2 linked regions of the Xenopus tropicalis genome follow. The protein of the gene in region 2 interacts with the protein of the main gene of each other region in a biochemical or structural test. Links are inferred from orthologs where the notes say so. Each region holds a gene or a part of one and is shown on either strand. Other genes may lie near its edges. The genes, in order: sri and anxa7.

The links.
Region 1: the proteins of anxa7 (region 2) and sri interact in a biophysical measurement, tested with the Homo sapiens proteins (2 studies listed by BioGRID and IntAct, with this or other methods). The link is inferred for Xenopus tropicalis from reciprocal best matches to the Homo sapiens genes ANXA7 and SRI.

Annotation. Positions count from the first base shown.
Region 1 is NC_030682.2:30,841,283-30,845,642, reverse strand, and holds the start of sri (sorcin), read right to left. Parts: upstream 3,000-4,360; 5' UTR 2,949-2,999; coding exon 2,904-2,948; intron 1-2,903. UniProt on the Homo sapiens protein: Calcium-binding protein that modulates excitation-contraction coupling in the heart. Contributes to calcium homeostasis in the heart sarcoplasmic reticulum. Modulates the activity of RYR2 calcium channels.
Region 2 is NC_030683.2:39,537,549-39,541,863, reverse strand, and holds the start of anxa7 (annexin A7), read right to left. Parts: upstream 3,040-4,315; 5' UTR 2,896-3,039; intron 1-2,895. UniProt on the Homo sapiens protein: Calcium/phospholipid-binding protein which promotes membrane fusion and is involved in exocytosis.

The sequences.
Region 1 (4,360 bases), on a different chromosome or scaffold from region 2:
ACATATAATATAATAATAATGCTTCCTTCATATGTGCAGGGAATCAGCATTCTTCTGTGTGCACACCCGGGAGACACTGTGTAGGCATGGGTGCAAGCACACAGAGCGGATTTCGGCTTAGAAAAGCGCAATTATTCATTCCAGTGCTGAAATCCAATGCTTGTGCTTTTACGTAGGCCAAAACAGCCCAGTCCAGATGCAGAAGATCACCGATTCAAGCATAGGGGCTGTGTTTATACACAGGCTGAAAATCAACCTTAATTCTATACATTGTATGTGGATTTGTCAGTTTATACACAGAGCAGCTACTTGAGGTGAGAACAATATTGCTTGCTAATTTTTGGTTTCTAAGCTGACAAAAATATTCATATGTCTGTACCCAGCATTAGATGCAGTGCAGTGGAACAAAAGGGTACTAAGGTTACAGCTACTGTATAAAAGACTAACTGTCTACAACTGACAATATCTTACTGTTCTTTCTGGCATAAAAGAATAACCATAGACTAGAAACCTTTGTGCCTTGTAACTATGGAACATTAACCTTTACCCAGTGCTAAGCAACGAGCTTGTCCACTGAATGCATAGTAAAAGCACTATATAAACACTCCCAGCACCTTGGAATAACAACGTTTTGCTGTTTCGCATTTTGTTTATAGTATCCACAGAGAGCAAAATTGCACCCACTGTTGTTTGAGTACCCTGCAAAGAAAAATGTTAAATTATACACATACACTATATGCCATATTGCTAAATGCCATATTCATACAGCTTACTACAAGGGGACTTATACGTCATATTCTGCAGGCTATCATGTTATTTATTCTGTCTGATTACGATTTGTAGGGAAACAAGTGCTATCACTTTTTTTCTGAGCACAGTTTTTAAGACTATATTTTACAGGATACTCATGAATCTTTGTATATTATAATCTTATAGTAAATGAGCCATTAATATTAATTTTAATAGCCATTATTTATTACAGCAAGTAATTATGAATGGTGCTTAAAGAAGCAATTAGTTATAAAAGGTGCTTAGGTACATGCGCCCTAGTGTATGGTTCTCCTTGGTAACAACTCATATACTTATAATGCATAAAAGCCATGAATATCCTGTAAAGTATATCCTTATAAAGCTTGCTTAGTGATATCAGTTATATTTGGTGCTCAATGATGCAATTTTTTTATAAGTCACATGACTCACTGAAACTTGTGTATTAAAATAAATAATGCACTTCCTGTTGTAAAATATGAAGATATCAGAAGTCTCCTCAGAGTTCCAATACCTGTATAAATGCACTTGGTTTTCGGCTTTATGCTTTTGTATGGTCATGGAACGCCTTGGTGACTAATATCCTAATATTTTACAATAGGACATACATTATTTACTATATATTTATATTATAATGGGGGAGGTTATTATTATTCCCTACATAAATGGTACCTTGGGATGTCACCAGTTATAATTTATGCTCAGTAAAGTCACTTGCCTTAGAAAATGTTCAGGATTGATTGATTGATCAAAGGATTGAATAAATGGGAAAAACCCTAATTTTGTAGGAAATTATGAATAATATACGGTGCTGGTTTCACTTTGGGCTAAACATTAATCCTATCTGTAAAAATGGGCCCTTTATTGGAACTCCCTATAGATCCTATCACTTCTCTGTCCGTGTTTAAAATGAAGGATGGGCGTGTCGTAACGGTCCCTGCCAGAAGCACAGTAGGAGGGGGAGAGCCAATCACAGCCTTGCACTCACACAAGCAAAGACAGGCTTCAGTTCCCTATCAGGTCAGCCTAGCTGCTGATTGGTTCCCATCCTACAGTGCAGTTGTGCTGAGTGCTGCTGCTCCCCCACACATCCAGAGAATTCAGCCAGCAGGAAGTGGAACAGATGGGCGGGACTAGCAGGGTTTTGGTGAAATTTCTCAATAAATCAGTCCAAAACAACTTTTTTAAGCACAATCCTTCTATAGCTAGGAGGAGTATAATTCACTGGTACATTCCTAATTTTTATAGGATATGTCTCCTTGAAGAAAACAAGAAGCCCACCACAACCTGAAATACCAGCGGTCTATCTGTTCAAAAACGATTATTACATCCATTAAGTGAGCTGCCTTAACCATCATATACTTTGATTCACAGCAACCATCTAAGTTGTGAACACAGAACATATATTGTTATATTATATGTTGCATAACTAACACAAGGATTGTGTTTTGCATTATGTATTTATTATGTATGGATTTGTGTATTGCATTATGCAATGTATGAAACCCACTTATTGTACAACGCTGTGGAATAAGTTGGCACTTTATAAATGAATGTTAATAATAATAATGATATGTTGTGTAACTAGTGCCTGTCAGAGGGAAGATGCCCTGCCAGTGTCCCCTACTCCCCTATCCTGTAAAACTACAAAGTAGAAATAACACAGAATAAGTGATAGGGCTGCTACAACTATCTATGGGAAATGTTTTAATGTAGATATGTTTACTTTCCTGGCTGAGGAATACATGGCCTGCAATGGGAGAAAGTACACTATATTATGGGATGTACCAATTCCCAGGGCCTGTAGGTAGCACAGCAGCAGGGCCTGACAGACTGATAATAACCTTTCCTCAGCTGCTCCCCCCCCCCAGAGAATGGCTTTACCCGCTCCCTTACTGCTTGCTACATTGCCAGAACATCACACGCCTGTATCTATAGGAACACAGCCATTCAGTCTCATTCCAACAAACGACACTGCTCCCACATCCCCATTACCCCCACTACTCCCTCCAGTATAACACAGAGTAGCCCCAAGTATGTTCCTATACAGTTCCACAGTACTTTATACAAACTCAGAGTTTCCCTACGTCAAAGCCCAAATACCGTGCGGCCAAGTCCCCCCGTGTGCACCTTACCCCTCCTTGGTAATAGCCTCCTGGCTGCTGTCCCGGATACGCCATGGCCGCTGCAGAGAGTGAGTGAGCCTACACAGCACTGCGTATCTGATCTTTAACCCACAGCGGATACAATGTAAGAGCGGCCACTCCCATCGCGCTCTGCACTGCCTCAAACCCACGATGGGCGGGGGCGGCATCCGGAATGTGAGTGAGGTGCACTAGTGACCCCAACCCGGGAAACGGCGCACACAGGGGAGGCCCGCCCTCTGAGCTGCTCAAACACTCGGGGATTAGCCTTGTCAGCCCACGCCTTTACTAAAGTACATAACTATACTACCTTGTAATAACAGGGCTCTCCCTAGAATGCCCTTGGGCTACTGCATATAGGTCTCTTACTTTCAGTCAGAACGTTGCACATCACTCAGACTGTAAGCTCTAGGGGCAGGGACCTCCTTCCAACTGTGTCTCATCCCACATGGCACTTACTCCCTGTGTATTTATATATTTATTGTATTTATTACACTTGTCCTCCCTGTGTGTAATTGTGTATTCTGTAAGACTGTACAGCGCTGCGTACTCTTGTATCACTTTATAAATAAAGTTATACATACATACACATCAGTATGGGTGCAAGTTTTCTTATCTAGGTCCCCAATGTATATATAAAGGTGACCTATGTGTAAAGGTAAAAGTTATAAGATTCTCTTGTTTGGCGAGATCACCAAATGAGCGGATCTTTCCCCAATAGCATACCTCCCAACATTTTGAAAACGGAAAGAGGAACAAAAATAAATGCCGCAGCAATTTTTTGCAACCACACCCCCTAAATACCACTCCTATTTGACTAAATATGGCAGGTTATTTAAAGCTTGAACCATTTCTGGGGGTTTTGGGGTCCTGTTTTATGTGTTATTGCAGTTTTGCTGAAAAAAGATGAAATTGCCCTTACAGCTAATGCCAGACGAGGCGTAGGGCGGATATTTTCGGCAAGCAGAAAAGCGAAAAGATGCAAGTCGCAGTTTCCCCAAGAGACCTGTTTAGCTTACAGTGGCTTGCAAAAGTATTCGGCCCCCTTGAACTTTCCACATTTTGTCACATTACAGCCACAAACATGAATCAATTTTATTGGAATTCCATGTGAAAGACCAATACAAAGTGGTGTACACGTGAGAAGTGGAACGAAAATTATACATGATTCCAAACATTTTTTACAAATAAATAACTGCAAAGTGGGGGGGGCGTAATTATTCAGCCCCCTTTGGTCTGAGTGCAGTCAGTTGCCCATAGACATTGCCTGATGAGTGCTAATGACTAAATAGAGTGCACCTGTGTGTAATCTAATGTCAGTACAAATACAGCTGCTCTGTGACGGCTTCAGAGGTTGTCTAAGAGAATATTGGGAGCAACAACACCATGAAGTCCAAAGAACACACTAGACAGGTCAGGGATAAAGTTATTGAGAAATTTAAAGCAGG
Region 2 (4,315 bases):
TGTGGGGGGCTGTTTGGTCCTTTGTGTACTTGAAATCCTATGGCCTATTTTAAATCCCAGTCTTGACCTGATTAAGAATGAGTGGGCACAGGTAGGGAAACCCAGTCACCTCTAGTAACCTCCCTTGCTGTCTTTATTTAGACAAGCTGAAAGTAAGTGCTTACTTAAAGGCAGCAAAGGCACAAGGGCCTGATTTAGGCAGTCTGGCAGCATGGTTTTGAGCTGCTTAAAAACAAGACAGTCAAAGTGTCCTAAACAGCCCCCCTTAGACGTATATTGAAATTGCATGACAAGCACTTGACACCTGTCAGGCAACTGGTCCCTTAAAAAAAAGTGTACAAGGGCAATATCACAAAACAAAAATAGAACGTTGTGCCCTCATTTGTAACACTAGTGTATTATAGCCCCCAGACTTTCGATTGGCAGCCAGTTGATCACAGCCTATCATATATGCTGTGTTGCAGAGATTCTATTCTAGGAAAATATTAGCCAAATATCCCCACACCCCATTAAACAAACAAAAAAGCCTTCTTCTATGTCTATAAGACTTATCTTGTTTGTATTTGGGGGTATGAAGGCATCAATAAAAAGGATATCCACCTTTAGGCTAATGCCAGACATGGCGTTTTTACGCTGCGTATTTTCTCCGCCTAAAAACGCCGCACAACCCACAAAGCCCCTGACTATGGCGTTTTTCAGCCTAGTACTGGTGATGTAGCAAATCCCATTTCCCATGGTGCTAATAGTGCGAAATAGTAAAAACGCTGCGTATTTCCGCTAAGTCTGGCAGCTGCCTTTGTGTACACATAGGAATAGGTTGCTGTTCAAATAATGGCGTATTTCGGCAAACGCATGAAAAGTCCGTGGTAACGCGTTTTCTAGCGTATTTACGCATAGTGTGTTTTCCATCGAGACTGTTTAAGTTATTTCTATGGATGATGATATTGTGCGTTTTTCAGCCGCCGAGAGAATTAGAAAATATGCAGCGTAAAAACGCCACGTCTGGCATCAGCCTTATACTGTAAAGTACATATTTGTATAGGTCACAAAGGGTCTATAAATATACTTGGCAGACTGGGGACAGAATTTCTTATCTCAAGTACCCCAAGCAGCTTTCAATCCTACAGTAAGCCAGCCATGCTTTTTATATGTAATTTATCCCTTTAAGTTGTATTTAAACTGAGCCCTCCAAAATAGACACCACTAACAGAAAACCCCACTACTGCTGGAGCACGTGGCAGATAATGTGCCTGGCATACATCACGAAAAAGAAACTGGACAAGGGCACGCAGGAGTGCTCTGTACAGTAATGGCTATGCACGCTGGTGAACTGACTGGCAATGTAAACAACGGGGGGCAGGGCAGGAGGCGTTGCACCATTTCACCCCCCCACACACACACTACCCGGAAGTTGCTGTAATTCGATTCCCAGCATTCGCTAAGACATAATTAGGATGTATGCAGAGTAGGGAGGTCCAACAAATATCTGGTATAGATTAGCACAAAGGGCATGTAACACAAAGCAAAACTATGTTATTTACATGAGAATGTTGTATTGGCTAGGCCAGCACCTGCCATTAAAAATGTTCTTGGTAACAACAGGGTATTTTAAGGGCAGCCACCAGTCATAAACCCTTTAGAGATCAAAGGTTGTTTTATCATGCAATAATAAAGAAAGTTAGGAGATAGATGGCTAGGAACTACTTTGATTTAATATTGCCATTAAGGCTGCTACAGTCAACCTTATGTTGGACTCCTCCTACATGAACTTTATTATTGGTTTATAAGGACTTGGAATTGTATTATTGATTTGTTAGTTTATGAAACATGGAATTATTATTTATTAGTATACTGCTGATAAGCAGAAAGAAAAGGGGGAAAAGGTCTCTTAGCTGTCTTTGGAGGGTTTCTTGGGTTGAGTGTGAGGGTTCACCTACAATAAAGGTTTTCCATATAGGTGGGCCATGAATAACACCTGGCATGCAGGGAATATCCTCCTCCTACGCTTTTCAGCTGGCAGAGAAGCGCCCAAACCCGGTCATTAGTTTTAAGTGAAAATGGCTGCCACTAATGGGGAACGTTGGCTAGAAACGCTCAAATGCAACACCCATTTATTAAAAATGGTCAATAATTTTACAATAGCTGGTAACAATGCTACTGAAAGCAGTGTCGGTTTATATTATCTGCATTGCTGGTTCTGACTAATGAGATGAAGTAGCAGGAGCCTACCTTTTGAGAGTCAGAACTAGAGAACAGAATGGGAAAAACAAACTTTTAGTAGCATGTACAAATAATTTATACATTTTACAAATATTAAAATATATAAAATTAATATATTGGGAAGTTGGTTTAATTTTATATTGTTTTATTTTTCATTGGGGCAGTGAATCCCTGTAATACACGGGAAAGCTCTCCCATGAGAGTGTATTGAGGGGTTGGTTGCATTGAGTTCAGTGGGGGACAAGGGGGGGGGAGGACAAGGGGGGGGGAGGACAAGGGGGGGGGGGGCAGCCTCCTGGGTGTGGCTGCACCGGATTAACTGTTTGGGATCCGTGTGGGGCACACACCCAGCCCCAGCATTTATGACAGGCACTAGCCTCGGGCTTGCAGTTGTAGCTAATGGCTGTGGTGCCTGCCCAGCAACATTCCAGCAGCAAAGCCTGCCTTCTACTGACAGAGATCCCAGCCTTTCAGCCTTATATTCATGCCGCTTCTATTGCTGCCATGTTATCGGACTACCCCAGCCTATAGCAAGCTACTAATTGCTGAAACTCAATAAACTACTACTCCCAGCATCCTCACAGACACCTAGATACTAAGGTTTGCAGCTCAGCAACTGCAGCAGAATCGCATATTTGCACTACCCTGGCCGTGCCCCGCCGTGAGAGCCCTCACCTTGTCAGATGCTTGCAGGAGTTCTGTGAGAAGGAGACTTCCGAGACCTGGCGCTGACAAGATGGAGCTCGCAAATTAAATCTCCCTCAGGAAAGACAGGAGGAGAAAGGCGGGGACACCAAAGCACCCGGAAGAAAGGTGGGCGTGCCCTTGTACTGCGTAACTTCCAAGCGAAGGGCAACTTTAGCTGGTGGGCGGGGCTACTGGTGGGCGGGGCTGTGCTGAAAATGGGAAGTGGTGAGCGCAAATAGGAACCGAAAACTTGCAGCGAGCAAGCTCTAAGGACGTTTTTAGGAGTTATACGTTTTGGACCCATTTGCATTGTCCTCTGTACTAAACACAGAATATCATTATTTGCAGAGTCCGCTATTGAACAATACAGTGTTCTTAATACTTCTGTACAGCAGGTTCGCAACATGGTTGCTAAGCAACGCAGGAGATGCTTTTTCTATTTTGGTAACTAATCAAACAGCAGTGTTTGCAACGGCTCTGGTAGCCAAAAATAAGCAAAATGTTATCATCGGAATATTTTACTGGTCATGCCAGTGGCATGAATTGGGAGGCTCTGTTGCCCCTCCCTGGGCACCAGGTCATGTGATGCGTGTGGACTGGAAGGAGACATCTGTTCTTATTGCCCCCTATAATGTTTGTAGACTCTTCCTTATCATTACTAACAATGTTTATAAAGCACCAACATATTTCACAGCGCTGTACAATAGATGGTTGTCCCCGTTATTTAAATAATACAATGAGGGCAAAATTGGGCCATACCGATTAACGCCCAGGTACCCCCCACCCCCATCTTCCCAATCTCAATGTGGGATTGTTCTTCAATTATAGGACCACTAGGAACATAGAGGTGAATACAAAAATACAACTAATACAAGAGGGCCTTTCTTAAAGGGAAAGTAACACTAAATTTTTTTAAGTAAAAAATCTATTGTACCCTGCTCCAATAATTGCCCTATCTTGCACACCATTTATTATTTTGAATGCTTTATTAGAAAATACCTGCTAAAACTTTGCTTCCGGTCACTTCAAATACGGCGATATGGCGATCCTCCCTCTGCACAATCCACTATGCGACGATCCACATAACCTCATAGCCTTCATTCTGTACAAGCAAACAATTGACTTCCAGTTTTGGAGTCGGGCTAGGAGGAGATGTGGATTGTCGCATAGTGGATTGTGCAGAGGGAGTATCGCCGTATTTGAAGTGACTGGAAGCAAAGTTTTAGCAGGTATTTTCTAATAAAGCATTCAAAATAATAAATTGTGTGCAAGATAGGGCAATTATTGGAGCAGGGTAGGATAGATATTTTAATTGAAAAAATTTAGTGTTACTTTTCCTTTAATAGAGCTATGTATTACTACAGCTGGGGTAATCTTGTTAATTTTTATAACAATATCCCCATAGTAA